3 linked regions of the Diceros bicornis minor genome follow. The protein of the gene in region 2 purifies or fractionates together with the protein of the main gene of each other region. This does not show direct contact. Links are inferred from orthologs where the notes say so. Each region holds a gene or a part of one and is shown on either strand. Other genes may lie near its edges.

What was found.
Region 1: the proteins of TRIM33 (region 2) and PNMA2 purify together in Homo sapiens (affinity purification with mass spectrometry; 3 studies listed by BioGRID and IntAct, with this or other methods). This does not show direct contact. The link is inferred for Diceros bicornis minor from reciprocal best matches to the Homo sapiens genes TRIM33 and PNMA2.
Region 3: the proteins of TRIM33 (region 2) and SKIL purify together in Homo sapiens (affinity purification with western blotting; 4 studies listed by BioGRID and IntAct, with this or other methods). This does not show direct contact. The link is inferred for Diceros bicornis minor from reciprocal best matches to the Homo sapiens genes TRIM33 and SKIL.

The regions. Positions count from the first base shown.
Region 1 is NC_080750.1:67,423,486-67,430,400, forward strand, and holds the start of PNMA2 (paraneoplastic antigen Ma2), read left to right. Parts: upstream 1-2,356; 5' UTR 2,357-2,438; intron 2,439-4,272; exon of another isoform or gene 4,273-4,328; intron 4,329-4,937; 5' UTR 4,938-5,063; intron 5,064-5,361; 5' UTR 5,362-5,821; coding exon 5,822-6,915. Other genes in the region: DPYSL2 (dihydropyrimidinase-related protein 2), read right to left, coding at 1,592-1,945.
Region 2 is NC_080743.1:47,165,525-47,172,439, forward strand, and holds the start of TRIM33 (E3 ubiquitin-protein ligase TRIM33), read right to left. Parts: upstream 5,093-6,915; 5' UTR 5,080-5,092; coding exon 4,554-5,079; intron 1-4,553. UniProt on the Homo sapiens protein: Acts as an E3 ubiquitin-protein ligase. Promotes SMAD4 ubiquitination, nuclear exclusion and degradation via the ubiquitin proteasome pathway. According to PubMed:16751102, does not promote a decrease in the level of endogenous SMAD4.
Region 3 is NC_080754.1:51,560,611-51,567,525, forward strand, and holds the start of SKIL (ski-like protein), read right to left. Parts: upstream 4,378-6,915; 5' UTR 4,178-4,377; intron 3,588-4,177; exon of another isoform or gene 3,297-3,587; intron 2,551-3,296; 5' UTR 1,871-2,550; coding exon 773-1,870; intron 1-772. UniProt on the Homo sapiens protein: May have regulatory role in cell division or differentiation in response to extracellular signals.

The sequences.
Region 1 (6,915 bases), on a different chromosome or scaffold from region 2:
CAAAGCGAGGTTTTTAGACTTCGGTTCTTCTGGCTGCTTCATAGTGACACATGCACATCAGATACCCTCCTATATGAATAAACCAGAGGACAGGGCTCGGGGAGGAGGAATCAATTAAGTGATGTGTTGTCCCACCTTTTGAAAATGACAGCAAATGTCTTATCTTTCCTAGCATTGGTCCTTTAAGAGTCAAAAGCTCCAAAACTCTATGCCATATCAGGAAACAGTAACATGCTCAGGCCATTATCAGCAACTCATAATTGTTCTCACTGTAAGCACACAACCTGAATGCCAAATAAATGCTGTGGAATCACTCGGTGAATATGTATAGACCACTCCCAACTAGTCTGGAAGCCTCTTAAGAAGAAAGCACCTTGAACTTTTAATAGCTAACCATCCCCCTGCCCCACAAGGGAAGGCACACAATAGGTCTCCAATAAATAATCAATCATTGACTGATTTCTCATCTTCTCCAATGGGCATGGGAGAGAAACAGCAAACAAGTGTTAAAACATTCCACACTGTAACTGATCAGTAGAGAAAATAAGGCTGTGAAAAAAATTGCACAAGTATGAAGGTCACCCTGATAAAAAAAAACGTGGTGCAAGAAGACTACTGCACTTAAAATGCACACTATACATATTTGCGAGAGATGACAACACTTTCTAAAATCAAGGTTTACCAAATCGGTCTTCTTTGTTCCCCCATTGACACAGTGTAGGGATCTAATCCATCTCTGACAATCTATTCAAAATGTGAGGGGTTTTCCCCTTTTCTTTTCTTTTTACCCTTTGAACATAATCCACTCAGTCCCCATCCCCAACGTGCTTCCCCAGCAGCGGCGGGGGGACCGCTCTGGGAAGCCCTTGCTAGGGTACTCAGCGAACTTTGTTCTCCACATGGCTATTGAGGAGCGTCTCGGTTTCCTCGCGTGACTCCACCGCCTCCCTCGTTCTTCTCACACTGCGAACAGGAGTCAAGGGTGGTGCGATTCTGCGAGGCGGTCCGGGGAGGCGCTGGCCATGGTGCTGGCCTCTGAGCTCGGGACGCGAGCGCGGAGGGCGCGGGAGGAGGTGCGGTGGGTGAACGCGCAGGGCGCGGTGGGGAGCGGCCATCGAAGCCCCCGCCCCTCCCGACCCCCGGGGAGCCCGCGGGCCTGCACGCGAACTCTCCGCCGCTCGCTCCGAGCTGCATCAAAAAAGGGTGGGGCATCCAGCCACAGCTGCAATCGGAAGCCGCCCGGCCGGATTTAAGAATGGACGGCGGCCCATCCCCCCCGACCATGCGACCCCCTAGCCGGGGATCGGCCCATCCTTTACCCCCACGCGCTACTGCCCAGGCCCGGGGAGGCGCCGGCAGCCTTTGTGGGCGCACAGCCGCCCACCGCCGAGCCCGAGCCTCTCCGCACCCTGCACGGAGAAGGGGCGGGTAGGGTGGGGTGCGTGTGCAGATGCGGGGAGGCAATGTTCGAGGAGGGGCAGGACGGTGGGCACGCTGAGATCCTCGTTCTTCACCGAGCTGGAAGGAGGCGAGGGAGGGGCGACCCCCGCGCCCGGTCCTCCGTTTCAAACACCCCTCCCCCCATACCAACCTGGTCGTTGATGTTCTGCAGGGCTTCCTTGCCCGAGGCCCGCCGGATCTCCACCTTCCGGCTCGATTCAACAGATGGCTCCCCGCCGGCGCGCCGGCCCTGCCGGGAGTACGGAGGCTGCGGGTCCGGGCCCAGGTGGGCGACGTCCCGCTGCTGAGCCACCACCTGCCCCGAGCCCCGGCCCACCGACAGCGAGTCGAAGTCGATGGTCTTGTTCTCCGAGGACCCTTCCACGGGGCAGAACATGCCACAGAATTTCTGCCGGGGCTTGGGGCTGCCTGAGCCCAGGTTTTTAAAAAAGGCAGGGACCTCTTCGTCCTCCGCCGCCTTCCCGGATTGCTTCCTCTCGGCCATGGCGCGGGGGCTCGAGGAGGGTCCTCTCTGTCGGTCCGTCCGTCTGCTGGTCCCTAAGTCTGCCTCTCCCTGTGCACAAACCCCCTGGCTGCTGCCGCGGCTACCGCTCTGCGCCTACCGCAAGGTGTACAGAAAGGAAGGAGGGCTGGCGAACGGGCGGCCCACCGCTCCCGGTCCCTCCCCCTGACCCCGCTTTCTCCCCTCCCTGCCCACGCCTCCCCCCGCCGCGCGAGCTCCGGCGAGCGGCAAAGTTGGGTCTGGGCGGGTGGCCGCTGCGGCAGCGGGAGCGGAGAGGCTGCCAGTTCCCGGCAGCGGCGGGAGGAGGGAGGCGCGGGCGGGGCGGGGGCGGGGCGCGGCGCCGGGAGAGGAGCCGAGCGCAGCGGAGGGAGGGAGCGCCGCGCCGCTGGGAGCCCCGCGCTCCGGAAGTGAAGTGGCCAGACCACCGGCTAATGGATGCGGAGCGGAGGGCCCGCCGACCGCTCCCGGCTCCACCGTAAGTATGGAGCAGGGCACGCGGCGGCGAAGACCTGAGGGCGCAGCCCCTGGCTCCCGCGCCCCTCTTCCCCGCCTGCCCGGCCCAGGCGTCTCTCCCCACCACATTGCGGAGATGGGCCAAGGGCTGTGGCCCACCGTGGGGAGGGTTTCATCACCCAGGATGTGAGCTGATGGATGGGGAAAGAGGGACAAACTGACAGGCGTCAGGATACCCGGGGGGAGGGGAAGGGGCGGCACTGAGGATGGGGAAGGGATGGCGCAGGCGGCGCAGAAAGGTAGGGGCCATACGAGGCGCTGGACACCAAAGCCTTAGTTTACACACGGCCCTTGGTGGGCTGCTGGGAGCAGAGATTGAAACGAGAAGGTTCTCACTTTGTGCATCCACGGTGGTGGGAGAGGCACAGCATGGCGGGGAGAAATGCAGAGGGGCGTAGCAAACGGTGGGGAGCGGATAGAGAGAGACATAGGTCTACGGTCCGTGAGAGTGTAGCAGAGTCCAGTCCAGCACGGCAACTTATGTATTGCCCCAGGCGCCATGCACCAGTAACTGCGCCACTGCGCCAAGTAGAGCACAGGAGAAGGTCTTCATTTGGTATCTCCCGCCCCCGCCCAAAGTGGGGGAAAGCCGCAGATTAAAGCCCACTCCCCAAATCTCCAGTCCTTCTCCGGCGCCCCGGGCGCCCCGCCTCGTCCCCACCCCGCCCTGCTGCGCACTGCGCCAGAGCCGCGGGGTTTCCCAGGTGGCCAGACGCCGCGTGCCTGAGGCGTAAGTGCGTGCGCGTCCAGTGGCGGGTAGGAGATGGGGTGCTGGCTGTGATTGAGTGTCTTGGATTGTGTGAGGCCAACCTGGGGAAAGGTGTGTGGGGACTTGGTGTGTATGTACGGATAGACTAGCCACAGCCACAGGGCATCCAGGGGGGTATTTTGATTTGTGCCAGTAACACGGTCTCTGAGGGTCCTTCACGGCTTACTCCCGTCCCCACGTCCTTTCCGTGTATCAGTCTCTACCTCTGGTCGATTACAGCCCCGCCCCTCTTTCCACAGTGTCAAAATCCTGCAAAAATGATGCCCATCCTTTGGCGGCTCGAGAGAGAGGTCTGGGCATGCTCAGTAACCAGGGTGGGTTTGGGCTAAGAGGCTGTTTACCGCAGGACCGTAGCGAGGGGCAGTGTGACCAAGTATTCGGTCCCGTTGTCAGCCCTTGCCCCTAGAAGCATTAAATGCGGATACCCACCCCCTAGTTGTGAGGGATAGTTTGGTGAATGGAGTTAAATTTAGAGGACCACCACTCACAGTTTGGTGAGGAGCCCACCATGCTAGGTGGGCAGGAGTCCCCGGATGAGAAGGGGAGAAGGGGGAAGGAGAGGAATGTGCGTGTGGAGGGGCTGAGAGAACCAGGGGCAGGCTTTCGGACTTAGCACCAGATGTGCTTAGCATTTGAATAAAGTGCTTCTACGTGAATTACATCATTTCCTCCTCAAAGCAGCCCAGGGAGAAGAGTGCTTTCCTTCCAGGGCAGGAAGCTGAGGTGTAGAGCTATTGAGGAGCTTTGCCCAAGGTCACTATCTAGTTAAATGGCGCAACAATTACAGTGAAGTCTTCCACCTGAAAGTCTGGTTTCTTTTCCAACTTATCCTGTCTTTATGTGAGAAAATACAAGATTTTCACATTTTTTCCATATCCAAATATTTCCATACGGGTCATCCCGTATCTAAGAAGAGGAAAGTGAGGTACGGAAGAGTCATCGAGCTCAGATCCCTGGGCCTGCTGGGGAGGGCGTGACCCACCATTTTGCCCTCTGGCCCTCTGGCATGCGCCGCCTTCAGCACCTTCCGGGAAGACTCGGGAAATGTGCCTGCAGCAGGAGCAGCTGCCGCCATAACTGCAGGTTGGCATCTGTGGCATATGGACCCCATTAGGACTGATGGAGATTTTCAGGCCTGGGGAAGAACGGTGGTGGTTCCTAACACACACTCCACACCAGTAACTGGGACACGTTAGGAGCTCTTCCCTTTTCACAATACCCAGTCTCCACCCCCTCGCCACAGATGTGCTTCCTCTCTTTTCCTTTTTCCTCAAATGACCCGTTCAAGTTCAAATGCTATGAAGAAAGTGTCGTGTTAATAACTTACCATTCATAGCAAAAGAAACATCTTAATTTTGCTTTTGCAAAGCCTGACCAGACATAGCAAAAGAGAATTAATTCATAATTCTGAGTTTATTTGGCCCTGAGGTTTTTTAAATTGTTATACTTCTATTAGGTTGTAATACCTATATTATTATGTCATATTAAAGTATATTTTATAAATTATATTATTATGCCTATATTAAATTGTTTTTAAATATTTGAATGATTTCTAAAAGAAATGAAGCAACTCAATTTAGTAGATTTAATTAAGTTTTGAAGGATTGCCATATTTTTGAATAAGTGCATTAACAGTCTTCATCACTGGATATTATCAAGCCATAAAAATACACTATTATTTATGTATAACAGGGCAACTTGGCTTGGCTGGAGCTAAGATCCAGACACGCTGTTGTGTGGACTTGGGTGACATCTTCCTGTGCTAGAAGCTGAATAAGCTCCTTGACTCTCATGGAACATTCTGGAACGCATAAACAGGTATCTCACCACATTTCCTGATTTCATTATTCATGTGGGAAAAATCTTGAGTCCTGTCCACAACTGGGGCTCAGATATTAATCAGCACTTCTGATGAGCGTGCGGTGGGGAAGCTAGGTTGCAGGAGGGTCCCCAAGAGAAAAAAAAAATGTCACTGTAGGCAAAGAAGAGATCTGACAGAGTGGGATAGACACAAGTACAATGTCTCCCCGGGTCTCCCTCCACCTCCATCCCTAACTGGAGTACAGATGCTCCCTGGGAAGGAGAGGGCTGGTAAAACTGACCGTTCTCTCATTAGGAGTCCAAGCCACTCTGCAGTGAGACGTCTCTCCAGGACTCCTCGGGGCCAGAGGAGGTATTTCCCTGTTGACTAGAGAGGTGAAGCAGCAGAGACGGGGAAAGTGGTGAAAACAGCTCTCGAAGGTGCAGCGGACCGTCAGCAGGGGGTCAGCACCACCACGTGGCTGCTAGCATTGGCGAGAGAAACAGCAGCCACCAGACTCCAGAGCCACTGAGACACTGCCACCCACCGCAGGTCTAGAGACAACGGGAGGTGCTGAGCTCTTGCCACTGGGCAGTGAAGGTTATTGGTCCAGAAGACTGAGGCTGCTCTTGGAGTGACCTGACCCAGGTTCCATTCCCTGGTGGGTTATAAGTTTGGAAGCTCCTCCAGGATAGTCTCAGTCCTGAGGCAGTGCCCATCTGCACCACAAACTAATTGGTACCCCTAGGGTCAGAGCGAGTAAATATTTGGGACGATGGCACTGGCACTGCTGGAGGACTGGTGCAGGATAATGAGTGTGGATGATCAGAAATCGCTGATGGTTATGGGGATACCAGTGGACTGTAATGAGGCTGAGATTCAGGAGGTTCTCCAGGAGACTTTGAAGTCTCTGGGCAGGTATAGACTGCTTGGCAAAATATTCAGGAAGCAGGAGAATGCCAATGCTGTGCTATTAGAGCTCATGGAGGATATTGATGTCTCAGTGGTCCCCAGCGAGGTTCAGGGAAGGGGGGGCATCTGGAAAGTGATCTTTAAGACCCCCAACCAGGACACTGAATTTCTTGAAAGACTGAACCTCTTTCTAGAAAAAGAGAGACAAACAGTCTCTGGTATGTTCCGGGCCCTTGGCCATGAGGGAGTGTCTCCAGCCACAGTTCCCTGCATATCACCGGAGTTATTGGCCCATTTGTTGGGACAGGCAATAGCACATGCCCCTCGGCATCTGCTCCCCATGAGATACCGGAAACTGAGGGTGTTCTCAGGGAGCGCTGTGCCCACCCCGGAGGAAGAGCCCTTTGAAATCTGGTTGGAACAGGCCACTGAGATAGTCAAAGAGTGGCCGGTAGCAGAGGCAGAAAAGAAAAGGTGGTTGATGGAAAGCCTGCGTGGCCCTGCCCTGGACCTCATGCATATAGTGCAGGCAGACAATCCGTCCATCAGTGTGGAGGAGTGTTTGGAGGCATTTAAGCAAGTGTTCGGAAGCCTAGAGAGCCGCAGGACCTCTCAGGTGAAATATCTGAAGACCTATCAGGAGGAAGGCGAGAAAGTCTCAGCCTATGTGTTACGGTTAGAAACCCTGCTCCGGAGAGCTGTGGAGAAGCGGGCCATCCCTAGGAATATCGCAGATCAGGTCCGCCTGGAGCAGGTCATGGCTGGGGCGAGCCTTAGTGAAATCCTTTGGTGCAGGCTCAGGGAGCGGAAAGACCAGAGGCAGCCTCCCAGCTTCCTTGAGTTAATGAAGGTAATCCGGGAAGAAGAGGAGGAAGAGGCCTCTTTTGAAAATGAGAATGTTGAAGAGCCAGATGAGGGGGACGGCTATGGCCACTGGGACAATGAGGCAGATGACTA
Region 2 (6,915 bases):
CCTGGGCCACCAGCAGCGGAGCCCGCACACTTAAGCACTAAGCCACAGGGCCAGCCCTGGAGGACTACTTTAAAAACAGCGGTAGGGGCCGGCCCGGTGGCGCAAGCGGTTAAAGTGCGCGCGCTCCGCTGCGGCGGCCCAGGGTTCGCTGGTTCGGATCCCGGGCGCGCACCGACGCACTGCTTGGCAAGCCATGCTGTGGCGGCGTCCCATATAAAGTGGAGGAAGACGGGCACAGATGTTAGCCCAGGGCCGTCTTCCTCAGCAAAAAAAAAAAAAAAAAAAGAGGAGGATTGGCAGATGTTAGCACAGGGCTGATCTCCTCACAAAAAAAAAAAAAAAAGAGCGGTAGACACAGGATTTTTAGGGCAGTGAAAATACTCTGTATGGTATTATAATGATGGATATATATATTATACATTTGTCGAAACCATTAGAATATATAACACTAAGAGTGAACTCTAATGTAAACTACGGACTTTGGGTAATTATGATGTGTCAACGTAGGTCCATCAATTATAACAAATGTACCACTCTGGTAGGGAATACTAAGAAGTGGGGAGGCAATGCATGTGTGGGGGCAGGGAATATATAGAAAACCTCCATATCTTCCTCTTAATTTTGCTAAAAACCTAAAACTGCTCTAAAAAATACAGCCTTTAAAAAAAAGGGGGAAGGGGACAGCCCCGTGGCCTACTGGTTAAGTTTGGCGCACTCTGCTTCGGCGGCCCAGGTTCAGTTCCCGGGCACGGACCTATACCACTCATCAGTGGCCATGCTGTGGTGGCGACTCACCTACAAAATAGAGGAAGACTGGCAGAGATATTGGCTCAGGGTGAATCTTCCTCAAGCAAAAAGAGGAAGACTGGCAACAGATGTTAGCTCAGGGCAAACCTTCCTCAGCAAAAAAAAAGAAAAAGAGCAGTCAAAGAAGGCTTTTCTGAGGAGATAACAATTGAAGTGAAAAGCCCTTCACTCAACAACAGTGGTTCTCAAATTTAGTGTACATCAAAATCACCTGGAGGACTTGTTAAGATAGCTTGCTGGTCAGAAGATGTGGCGTGGGGCCCAAAAATTTGCATTCCTCACAAGATCACAGATGATGCTGATGCTGCTGGTCCAGAAACCACACCTGGAGAGCCATCAATCTAGAGGGAACAGCTAAAAGGTGTGAATAACTTTGGTGTGTTAAAGGAAAAGAAAAAAGGCCAGTTAGAAGGGAGGGTAATGTCCCTGTCATTGTTTCAGAACCACTTAAGATGGTGAATTAAATTACCAGCTGTGGCTCCCAGACCAGATATGGAATCACAGCTTGTTCAATAATACCTTGCAATTACAAAGCATTTCACAGTTTATAAAAGCATTTTCACATTCATTATTTAATTTGACTTAATGAGATAAAAATGAAGGACTATTAGCTACATTTTAGAGATAAAGAAACTGAAGGACAGAAACATTATGAACCTGAAGGAACCAGAAAACAATTAAGTGGCAGAACTATGTCCCCTGACTCCAAATCCAGTGTTCCTTCCAGAACAGCATGCTTGCTTTTTTAAAGAGCAAAGTAAAGGATACATACAGTTGTTAATACTAACAAATTATTTTCTATGGGGCCGGCCCGGTGGCGCAAGCGGTTAAGTGCACGCGCTCCGCTGCAGTGGCCAGGGGCTCGCTGGTTCAGATCCCGGTGCACACCAACGCACCGCTTGTCAAGCCATGCTGTGGCGGCGTCCCATATAAAGTGGAGGAAAATCGGCATGGATGTTAGCCCAGGGGCAGTCTTCCTCAGCAAAAAGAGGAGGATTGGCAGATGTTAGCTCAGGGCCGATCTTCCTTACAAAAAAAAAAAAAAATTATTTTCTAGACTCCCTGCCTAAAAACATGGTGGCTTCCAGACTTAATTTGTTTCAGATACTGGTTAGAAAGCAACATTATCTTAAGATTGACACTATTTAGTCCCACGTACTTATTTCTCCTAGTTCAAAAACAAAGGATGAAGAAATGAAAAGAATTTACAGACTATTATTCTCTCCCCTGCATAAATATCAGAGAGCCAATTTCATAACCTAAGTCTCTCAGCCACATCAAACACAATTTTCATCTTGTGTTCCCTCTAAATATCTCACCTAATCCAGGTTCCCAAAAGAACACTGAATCCCACGTCTGACTATACTCATGAGGCCATGAGTAGTTAGTTACACATCCATCATCCATCCTCTATATACATCCATTATCATTTAGTATCTTCTCCATCAATCAACCCTTATTCTTAACATTCTTACCTGCGTGTCTCAATAATACTTCAAACCCAAAACATCCAAAACTGCAATCATTTTATCCTCCCTCCACCACACACACCTGCTTCTGTGCCTGAATTCTTTTATTTGCATTAACAGCACTGCCATCCACCAAACAAGAAACCTGGAACTCAGCCTAGACATGTTTGTTTCCCTCACACCAATCTCAAATCACTCCTCATCTCCATTCCCATGGCTACTTACAATTAGTTACTATTAATAATAAACTAGCTTCCATTTCATTAAAAACTACCATGTATTAGTCACTTTACACACTTCATTCTATCAATAACACTGTGAGGTAGAGAATTTTGTCCTTGTTTCACAAATGAGAAAACTGAGGCTAAGAAAAATTAATCTGGGCCGGCCCCATGACTTAGCAGTTAAGCGCGTGTGCTCCACTGCTGACGGCCCGGGTTCAGATCCCGGGCACTCACCGCTTCTCCGGCCATGCTGAGGCTGCGTCCCACATACAGCAGCTAGAAGGATGTGCAGCTATGACATACAACTATCTACTGGGGCTTTGGGGGGAAAATAAATAAATAAATAAAATCTTAAAAAAAAAGAAAAATTAATCTATGTCACAAGTAGGAAGCGACAAAGTAGACATCCAAACTCAAACATGTCTCACAAAGTCCATAGCTTTCCCCCATACCAAACTGCTTCCTTCTTTAATACCTGATATCAGTCCTTTACTACTCATTCCAAATGGGCTCATTTCTCACCTAAATTACTGCCAAGATTCTCCTAACTGGTCCTGCCTCCAGCCTTGCCTTCCCTTGCCCTTCAACGTGCCCCACGTAATCTTTCTGGCTCACAAACGTGATCCTTTTACCTTCTTGATATAAAAGTCCTTCAGGGACTCCCTTTAGTCTACACTGTACAAGGTACACTCTTGTACAGGATGAATCCCAAACTCTTTAGTACAGGTCCACAATCCCTTACCTGCAGTTCCAAAATTCAAAAGTTTTGAAATTTTAAAGATTTTTCATAAGTTTGCAACAAAACCCACCCTGAAAGAAGGCTATTTATTGTCCATTCCATTTGTGTGACATTTGTACGTTTCACTGCAGAAATATTAATGTGTTTGATAATGAGTTGTCAACCCAGATCCCGCTGGAGCATTAGAGAGACCTTACCAGGAAAAAGAAACTTTTCCAAACTATTCTGAAGTCTAAAATACACCTGGTCCCAAGGGTTTCAGATAAAAGACTGCAGACCCCTTACCTATTCAGCCCATCAAGCCAATCTAATTTCCACCAATCACCTTACACATCCCTCAGCTCCAGGGATGTGTAAGGTGTCCTGTGCCCTGAATACTCTCCAACCCAGTAAGCCACTCATCCTTTAAGAAACCTGTCCAAGGGTTTCCTCTTCAGTGAAGTTTCCCTGATCTCCTCGTGACTGTGCCACAACCATTGTACCAAGTACCCACCTCCAATGCTGTACATTATATATTTGTTGCCCGACATCAGACTGTGAATGAGCCCCTCACTGAGTATTTTATTGAATCATAGCAAAGTGTCAGGAACATTAGGAGCTCGTCAATGTACAATTAACTGAAATTCACGCCCAGGTCTCCCTAACTCCCAATTCCCTTCAAAGTTCATTTCTCCTTCACCCCTAAACCTTAGGATTTTTTCCTAACCATCCAAGCTCCTCATAGCTATTTTCGTTTCCAGAGTTCCTCCTTCCCAATGTCATCTTAAAACTACTTTCTACCAGACGCCTTCTCTTAGCCCCAAACTCTCCAGTGCCCTTTATCCTCCTCTATTTAATTCCTAGTCCTTCTTTCCCCTAGCCTTTAACAGGTCAAGTCCTCTCCCTCTAGGACAATTCATCTCACAGCCCTCATCCGTTACCTACTCCCTCCTCAACACCTCTCCTGGCTCCGGGCCTTCCCTCCCAAAACGCTTGTCACAAGCGATTTCCCAGACCCCCTCTTCTCTCACAGTCCGGGCCCACCAGCTGCCGAACCTGCGCTCGGCCGGAGTCCACGCCTTCCCGGTCCGGATCCGCACATCACAAACCGTCCTTGCAGCCGGTGTCCCCTCCCCCAGTCTCTCGCAGCAGGCACCCCTCCTTTCACCCTCCCCATATCTCCGGCGGGCCGGCTTCTCTGGAAACTGTCCCAGGAGCCGTATCTTTCACCTCTTAGACCCCTGAGGATCGCGCTGGTCCGAGCAGCCCCGGGCCCAAGCACCTCCGTCCCCAAATCCTCCTCGACCCCGACCTGGGGCAGGGCCTTCCGCTCACCTTGCTGGATGTCGCCGTTGCTGCCCCCCGGGATGGGCACGCTGAGCTGGCGCTCCGGCTCGGGCAAGCAGCGCAGGCAGAAAGAGTGAAGACAGGGCAGCAGCTTGGGCTCCGCCTCACGCCGGCTCTGCAGGCTCTGCTGACACACGGCGCAGGTGTCCAGGAGAGAGGCTGGCGGTCCAGGAGGCGGCCCCGCCGAAGGACCTGGGGCGGGAGCCGAGGCTGGAGCTGGGGCCGGCGTCGATACCGCCCCTCCGGCAACTCCAGGGCCCACTGAGGCCGCAGCGGCTGAGGCAGCCGGGGCCGAGCCCGAGGAGGCCGCGGCCACCCCCCCGTCGTCAGGCCCGGCCGCGCCGCTCTCCGCGCCGGCCCTGCCGCCTTCCTCCTCCTCCTCCTCCACCAGCACCGCAGCGAGAGGCGGCTCCGCCTCCTGCGCCGCGGGCCCGGCTGCCCCGGCAGTCACCGGCGCGCTGCCGCTGCCCCCGCCGCCGCTCTCAGCCTCGCCGCCGCCTTTGTTTTCCGCCATGTTTTCCTCTTTGAACCCGCCGGACCGCCCCGCGCCGCCCGCCTCCCGCCGCCCGCGCCGCCGCCACCGCCCCCAGCCCCAGCCGCAGCCGCAGCGAGAGCTGCTGCCGAGAGCGAGCAGGCAAGCAAACGAACGAGAGCGCGCGCGCAGGCGGCGCCCCCGCCCTCGCGTCGCGCGGTTGCAGGAGGGCGGGCGCGGCGCTCGCACGCACGCACGGACGTCCTCTGGAGGGAGGCGGGAACTCGGGGCGCGGGCGCGGAGCTGTCCTCGCCGCCCCCCCCAACTGCCGGGGCCGACGCGTTGCGTCCGCGCCACGGCGTCTCTACGCGCAGTGAGCTGTTCAAGTCAGGGGCCTTTGACGCTCAGCTGCCTTTGGTCCGTGGTGGTTACGAGCTCGGAGGCAGCGGTGGTGCGGGGAGAAGAGCGGGAAAGGGTGGAAGGTTAGGAGGCCGGGGCGCTTCTTGCCGAGAGAGCGTCTCCCGGGCGGCGCCGTCCCCAGGGGCGGGCGCGTCTCCGCAGAAACCTCGCGTGCCGCGCGGTCGGACGCCGGAGCCTCCTGGCTCCGAGGTGCCGACCTCCCAGGAGGGTCTTTGGGACCCGCGTTCCTTTGGGCGATTGTGCCAAAGGGGAGCAATAAAGCGGGTTTTTTCCTTAAGCTGAGAGAGTACTAGAAATAGGCTGAGAAGGCTGGGTGAGGAAGAAACTTTTTAACAGCCATTTTTAGTTTCTTAAGGTGATTGATTCTCGGACGTTGCTGCGTATCAGAAAACCACTCAACTGAGGAGCTCTTTCAAAGCAGTGGTGCCAGGGCCACACCTCAGACCTGTATCGGGAAGTGAGGGAGAGGCTGCTGGGTGTTGAAAGTCGCTTCAGCTGTTTCTGACGTGCGTCAGTTTGGGGAGCCACGGATCTAACCAATATTGTGTCCTGAGAGTGCCACTTTGTATCCTGTCATGAGTTGGGTTATAAATGCCGTAACAATATGGGTAATAGAAGCTTTCAGAAAGGATTGTCTTTATTTGAAAAACAAGTCCTGTGGGGATTTTTATGTAGTGCACAGCTGTTTTAGTGTTAGGATCATGAAGTGCTTTCTTCTTCCGTATTCCCAAGAGACTGTTATTCTTTGAGCTGGCATAAGTCCTTACAATAAGCCACCTCGAAACGTTTGTCACTTACTCGTTCAAAAATACTGACCTCTTACTATGTAACAGGTAGCGTTTTAGAGACGCTAGGATTACAGCAGAGAACAAAGGACATCCTTGCCTTCAAGGAGGTTACAATCTAATGGGGGAAGATTGACAAATAAATATATGCCAGGGAGTGATAAATGCTATGAAGAAAAAATAAGCAGAGTAAAAGAGATTGGAGATGATTGAGGAAGGCCTCTGTTGATAGGTTAACAAGCTTTGTGGCTCTCCTGCAGAAAGAATAGTGTTTCAGGAAAGGAACAGTAAGTATAAAGGGTCGGAGGCAGAGAGGGATTCTTGGTTTGTTAGAGGAACAGCAAAGAGTCAATGTGGCTGCAGTGGCTGGAACAAGGGAAAGAGTAGTAGAACATGAGATGAGTATTAAGGGGGCCAGATCATATACAGAAATGGTCTTCAATTTTTTTAAGTTTTGTGCCCTTGAAAAGAACTTTGAAAAACTATTTTCTACCCTGAAACGTAAGTTGACTCTAAAATTTTTCATTATGAGTGAAGTTGCAAAAAGTGCAATTTCTGACATTTTGCAATACTGACATTTTTTAATTGTTACGTTATTTTAAATCTATCCAATGGAAAAGTAAACAGGTGGTTTAACAAACACTGTCATCCATTGTAAAAGTACATAATCAAA
Region 3 (6,915 bases), on a different chromosome or scaffold from region 2:
TTCGCCGGTTCGGATCCCGGGCGCGCACTGACACACCACTTGTCAAGCCATGCTGTGGTGGCGTCCCATATAAAGTGGAGGAAGATGGGCACGGATGTTAGCCCAGGGCCAGTCTTCCTCAGCAAAAACAAGATTGGCAGATGTTAGCTCAGGGCTGATCTTCCTCACAAAAAAAAAAAGAATCACAAATTCTTCAGATACATCTGTTTTTTCCATTTGTTTCTAATATTGATCAAGGCCAAACATCCAACTATAGAAATAATGTCAGAAATCGTAGATGTACCTTTGAAAAAATGCTGTGAGGAGCCCACCACCAGAATTGTTTTGGCTAGCTATTATACCATTTGCAAATGGAAATAACACCGAAGTGTAAATTATCTTCACTCCTAGGAAAACAACCAATATAGTCATCAAAAAGGAGGACGCGTGAAAAAGAGTACATGACTTGAGAAAGAAGCCCCAAATCCTCCACTCTCTGGCTATGTAATCTTGGGAAAGCCACTTGATCTCTCTGAACCTGTAAAATGGGAATAATTCTACTTCTCTCACTAAGCTGTTTGGAAGATCAAATGAGAACGCACACAGGAAAGCACTTTATAGCCTAAAATGTGTTAAACAAACATATCACATAGATCAGTATTTCTTGTTGTTGTTATATGAGCACTAACAGTTTAACACACAGGTTACGTTACATTCTAAATAGACTTTTGATTTCAAAGTAAACCATTACCGTTATTCAAAATTGCTATTTAAAAAAAAAAAAAAAACTTACCTTGGATTGCGTTCTCTTTCCATTTCTTATGCTAAATTTCTCCTTCATTTCTTCTAAAATTATCTTCAGTTTCTTTTCCTCAGGTGTCCCTAGGTATTTTTGGTTCACATGAAGATAGCAATGCCACTTGGCTGATTCAAAGCCCCAGTGGCAAGTCCTTTTGTCAGGTGATCTGTGAGAATGCATCACAAATGTCTGGGGCGCAAACATTCCACAGCACTCCAGACACTGAATACACGGAGCATCAGGCTGAACATAAAACTGGGGTGCAAACAGACCCTGACATTTGCCCAAGCATTCATGTTCCACTTCAAAGGCACTGCCAGTTTCCTTTAACTGGGCCAATGAGTTTTTAGCAGGCAATATGCTGCCATTTTGAGGAAAAGTACGTGGCCGCAATAAAGCATTACATAGTCTTTGTGCATCAGTTAATGTGATCAGCCCACAGGATGGGGCATTGAATGGGAGTATTCCTAGGACCTTTAAGATATGAAGCTGGTCTGAAGTACACCTTGAACAATAGATGTACAACTCGTCACACACTGTATTTATTTGCTGGAGTGAAAATTCACGGAGAACAGAATTTAAGACTTGGGGCAAACAGAGTCTCTTTTCTCCTCCAACCTGAAAACACGAAATAGACTCCCCTTCCAATACAGTCTGGGTGAGTTCTGTGGAGCTATCAGAAGGGATGAGTAGTGGACCAGGAAGAACCTGAGGAGATGGAAGAGGCAGAAATACAGTAGGTGACATGCTTTCTTGGGAATACCGAGCGGAGAATGCTGCTGGTCCACCCAGAGAGCTCTGACTACTTAAGTGGAATTGTGCCAAAGTGTGTTTCAAACTGGGATTTAAATGCAAAGGTTCAGGCACGGAGGCACAGGTTCGCTTGACATGCTCTCCATTAGTTTCCATGGGCGCTTCATAGTCATCCAAGTGTTCCTTCTTTACTGTTGGCATCTTGTTGATCATCATTCTTCCATTTGCATGAATGTCTGTCATCATTTTTTTCACTGGAGGGCTGCCATCATCTCCCATCCCATTCAGTTTTTTATTGGAACCCTGAACCAAGGGGAAATTTGTCTGTAGGTTTTCCATTGCTAAAAACTACGGTTAAATAAGTAAGTCTGAGATTTGCATTGTTATTTAGTTGCTTATTTGAAGAGAGAAAAGCGATATACACCAATACTTATGGTAATTTACTCTCATAGAAAATTTAAATTTCCAAAGAGAGATCTCCCTAATGAATAGATTTTGCAACTTTGTTTTGGTTCTGCTTATACTCTAGTATAATTTCACTACAAATGCTAAAAATTCCTTGTTTTGTCTTTAATAATAAAGAATATGATTTGAAGAGGCACACCTCTGAGGAAGTTTTTTTTTTTCTTTTTTAATTCTTCGGATATACGTATTAAAATAAAGTTACCAATCCTCTCAATTCAAGATGTCCAGGTTCAATGCAATGGTTTGGTTTGGTTTTAAGCAAAACACATGAAAAGTTTATGTGATTACTGTATCATAAAACCTAGACACAAACACAAGTCAAAATGATGCACCCAAATTTAATTTTTGGCACCAAGGACACCAAAAAAAGAAAAAAAATTCTTCTCTAAAAACAATGATCTGTTGGTCTGTGTCGACAACCTGAAGACTTGAATAAATCCTCACACCAGCAAGAGCCTCTCACTCCACTTGAACTTCTACAGTTAAAAATGATACCTAAAGAAAAACTGGCCAGTTATCTTCAAGGATTACTGTTCATTCTTCTTTTAATGAATCTGGAAGAGAATGGGGATGGGGGAAGAGTTACATTTGAATTTGCTCCAGAGGCCAAAGGCTCAGTTTGAAACTAGTTTCTTAATCTTAAACTAAGTTCACTTTACCAAAGGTGACACTTCATTTTTTTTTAAATCTAACACCAGTTAACTAGAAGAACCTTCATTCAAATAGGAAAGCAATTTGGAGAATGGGTAAAGAGAGCAGTAATATCCCTTAAGAGGGTGAGGGCTACCCCAACTCAGAATTGGAAGAACCTTAAACAGATCATCTCACCCAAAACTCAGTACTAGAGGCTTTCTCAGTTATGCCATTTTAACTAAAATAATCCATTACTTCATCTCCTAATTTAAAAAAAAAAAAAACACCAGTTTGATCCAAAAAAATCAGACACGAGTTAACATATCTACCATATGTAACTAAGTTACAATCTTAAGTGCATCAATTCATCTGGTCAGTTTATGCTATTTTTCTGGAATGACTGCAGGCAAAAATTAACATTCCCTTTAAAAGATTAGCGAATTTGCTTAATGGAAGCCAAAAGCTAGAGACTCCACTCCTGGGAATCTCCATCCTTGAACAAGACTAATCCGGGACAAAAAGCACAAGGCAGACAGACCTCACAAAGAATGCAAATGGAGGAAGAGGGAAAAAGAAAAGATTCTTCTTCCACTTCCTTCTTGACAGAAAAATCCAAAAGAAATCCAATAAATAGAAATTTTTGCCTCCCAAACTCCCAGCAATTTACCTTAAAACAGACCCAAAGGGTTAAGGACCAAGGCCAGTAGCCAATGTACTGACTTTCGCCCACCACAGGAACACCTCAGCCAACGCAGGCCAAGGAAGAGGGCAGCAGGCATGACCTAGAACCGGGGAGCCCCCCAAACCCTGAAATCCTCGGCCCACGCAAAGCCGCCCACCCATCTCAAACCCGAGGGGGAGGGGAAGAGTCGAAGACAAGGCACCCGGGACGCCTTGGGGTGTGCAAGGGGGGAGTGGGAAGTGCAGGAAGAGGAATCCCCCAACCCCCACCCGCAGTCTCACGACAACCCCAAGTGCCCTCGCAACACGGCCCCACTGCGGGGGCCGCGGGGAGGACGGTGGAAATCCCCCGCGCACCCTCTCCCCGGGAAGTTTTCGGGTGTTACCCCAGCACCCCTAAGACGGCACCTCCCCCCGCCCGCCCGGAGCCAGAAGGGAGAGGGGTCAGCGGGCGGGTGGGGCGCCCGAGCCGGGATCCCCGCGCCGCCGGGCGCCGGTCGACCAGGTCGAGCTCGGGGCATCCCCACCGAGCGCAGACCGGCGCCGGAGGTGGGGGAGGCGGCGACGGGCGTGCTGGTCTCCGGGGTCCCGACGGCTCCGGTCAAGTGCAGCGCCCTTCCCCTGCCCGCGCCCACCGCCCGGGGTCAGCGAGGCACGATCCGCCGTGGGACCCCCGCCCCGCGCCGCCCGTGGCCCCGACCCCACCCGGGACCCGCGCATCCGGACCCCCGACTCCGGCCTCCGCTCCCGGCGAAGCTCGACGAGCTTTGTTAACTCCTCACCCGCCCCTAGCGCCGCCGTCGGGCTCCCGGGGGGCCCCGCGCCCCTCTCCTCCCGCCGCGTCCCCCTCGCGAGCCCGGGCCGCACCTGTGCCCGCCGCCGCCGCCGCTCGCCCGCTCCCTTCGGCTGTGCCGGCGCCGCTCCGAACCCCACACACATCGCTACACACAGCCCTCTGACGTCACCGAGCCCTCGGCCCGCCCACGTCACTGCGGAGACACACGGCTTCCCGCAGACGCCGCCGCCGTCTCCGGCCGCCCGGGGGAGAGCGAGGGCGGCGGGAGGGGGAGGGGAGGGGAGGGAACGGAGCCAGCGGCGGCACCGCGCGCGCGGGCCCGCCGGCGTCGCCGTCTCCGCCCTGGCCTCGAAGCTCCCAGTCCCTCAGGGACGCGCGCGCCGTCTGGCCTATTGTGGCTCCCCCGGGCTCCCCCCGCCCCGTCGTCTCGCGCGCGCGCCCCACCCCCCAGGCGCGCGCCCGGCGCTCCCGGCCCCGCGCGCCGTCTGGGCGGCTGGCGCGCGGTGCTGTCTGCGGTGCACCCGGCGCAGACAGGATGTTCCCTCCCCGCCCCACCCCCACCGCCGTCCGCCCGCCCTCCTTCCTTCCTCGAGTCGCTCAGCCGGCTGTCTGGGGCCGCCACCGCCCCGCCCCCCGCCCCACCCGCTGCTCTGTGGTGACGGGCCAGACCCGGGGGCGCCCGGGCCGCTCGGCCGCCGCGCGCCAGGGGGACGGGGGGCAGGGCGGCCGCGCGGTGCACTGTGCGCGACCCCAGCAGCCGGCGGAGCGGAGGCGGGGCCCGCCCGGCAGAGCGCCGCCGCCCGAGGTCAGGCACGGCCGCCCCTCCCCCCGCGGGGCCGCAGCTGGGCCGCCCCGCCCCGGAGGCAGCCGGGTGGCGGCCGCCCCGCAGCGCCCCCAGCGTGGGCCCTGCTCGCCGGGGCTGCCCCCCACCCCCGCGGGGCCTCCCGCCCGAGGGCCGCCCCGCCAGCTGCCTGCGCCCCGCCCCACCCCCGCGGCCCCGCCTGGCCCGGGCCGCCTCCGCCCAGACGCCTTCCCCGGGCTGACCTCCATCCGCCATCGGGCCAGGCCCGAGGGCTGGCCAAAGTTCCGGCAAAACCGAGAGAAACATTTTTGTCCCTACTTCTCAGCCTCCCTTTCCCCTCTTCCCACCAGACTGCTCTCTCGGTTCCGAAAGGGTGCTAGAAATTACATGTTTCTGCAGTGTTTACTGAGGGGTTTGGGGGTTTGTTTTCTAAGGGAAGACGAGATGAGACGAGGAAAGGTACAGCCCAAGAGCTTTCGGCTGTGGCCCTCAGGGGCGAGTAGAGCAGAGCGGTCTTCCTGGCCAGTGTTCCCAGGATAGCCAATTAACATACTGAACTCGGCCGAGCTGCTCTGTCATATTTCGAAATATCGAGAAATCCCCTGTTCTCCACCCCACCACAAGATCAGGAACTGAAATAGTCCACTGAGTCGCAGTGCATAGAATTCAGAAGACTGGAGCTTTGTCCCCCCCTTTTTTTTTTCCTTTTTGCCCATTATCGTCCATTTTATCCTGGTTTTACTACTTCGGGGTCGCTCATATGGGGTCCACATTTGGAGCTGGCCGACTGGCAATATTCCTATGCTCATAGATTTTTTTTTTCCTCTTTTCCACCCAACTGGCCTACCAAAGGCTCACAAGCCTCTCATTCCCTCCCACTTCCAAGTTCCCTTCCTTACGCCCCCATCGCTGTGCTCCTGGGTCGTGCCCCCTCTCCCACTCCCCACCTTTCCCTCCTTCTTGACTGCCTCCTTTCCTGAACATGAATAATTCCGCAGCACTTCCCATCTGTTATTGCCATAGAGACAGAAGCTCGACAAAGATAATGATGTTCTGTGCAGAGCCAGTGGGGGGAGAACAGCATCTGCGAGTCTGGGGGATAGATTTTTCTAATCGCGAGAATATTCAGAAGGCCCTGCTGAAGATCTGATGTGGAAGACTGGACAGTCCTGAGACTTGGCATCCGGTCAACTCTGGACACCTGGCTCGTGTCTAGCGAGAAGAAACAAGTTTTAGAAACCAAAATGACAGATTAAAAAAAAAGTGATTTCAAATTGCAATTAATGACAAATGTTTAGTACTCATTTTATCAGCCATAAAAATAATTACTTGCTAGCATGTCCAAAGGCCTAAGGACCAAAATAAATTGGACAGTAAATAGACTTTTGAGAAATCAAACACATTATCCCCTCCCCTGTTCTTTTGATTTGCTTTCCCCAGGAATCTGTTTTTTGAGGGAAGGATCTTTTGTGCCTGTGATTTTGTGTACAGTGGTTTGAGATATAGTGACAGGCAAATGTGGCTAGAACTAATCAAGCTTTGAAGGCCTTTTTTTTATTATTCATCAAAGTAGCAAATGTACCAATTTAAAATTCACTTTGTCCTTGAACTTCCAAGGTCTTGGCCTCAAAGATACAGGTTTGAACGCAAGTGAAACTAAGCAGGGTAGATCTGATGCAGATAGGAAGGCTCACACTCAGCCACATTTTTGCAGGTCTACTTAAGGATTGTCAGAAATTATTAGTAAAATTAATTGTATAATATGAAATAAAAAACACTGAAATAAATGATAGTTTCTTTATCTCAGAATTGAACAGAGAATACCTTAGAAAAAAAGAAGCACTGCAAGGTAATGAATATTGTAATTCTTACATACTGATGGTCTTCATCAGTGTTGAAAAGTCAGCTCAAGTATTGGTTGGTAAAGAGCTATTAGATGGGTTTCTCATGGCCTCCTGCCTCACCCCCTTGGCTGCCAGCAGGAGCTGAGCAAGGCCACTGTGCAAG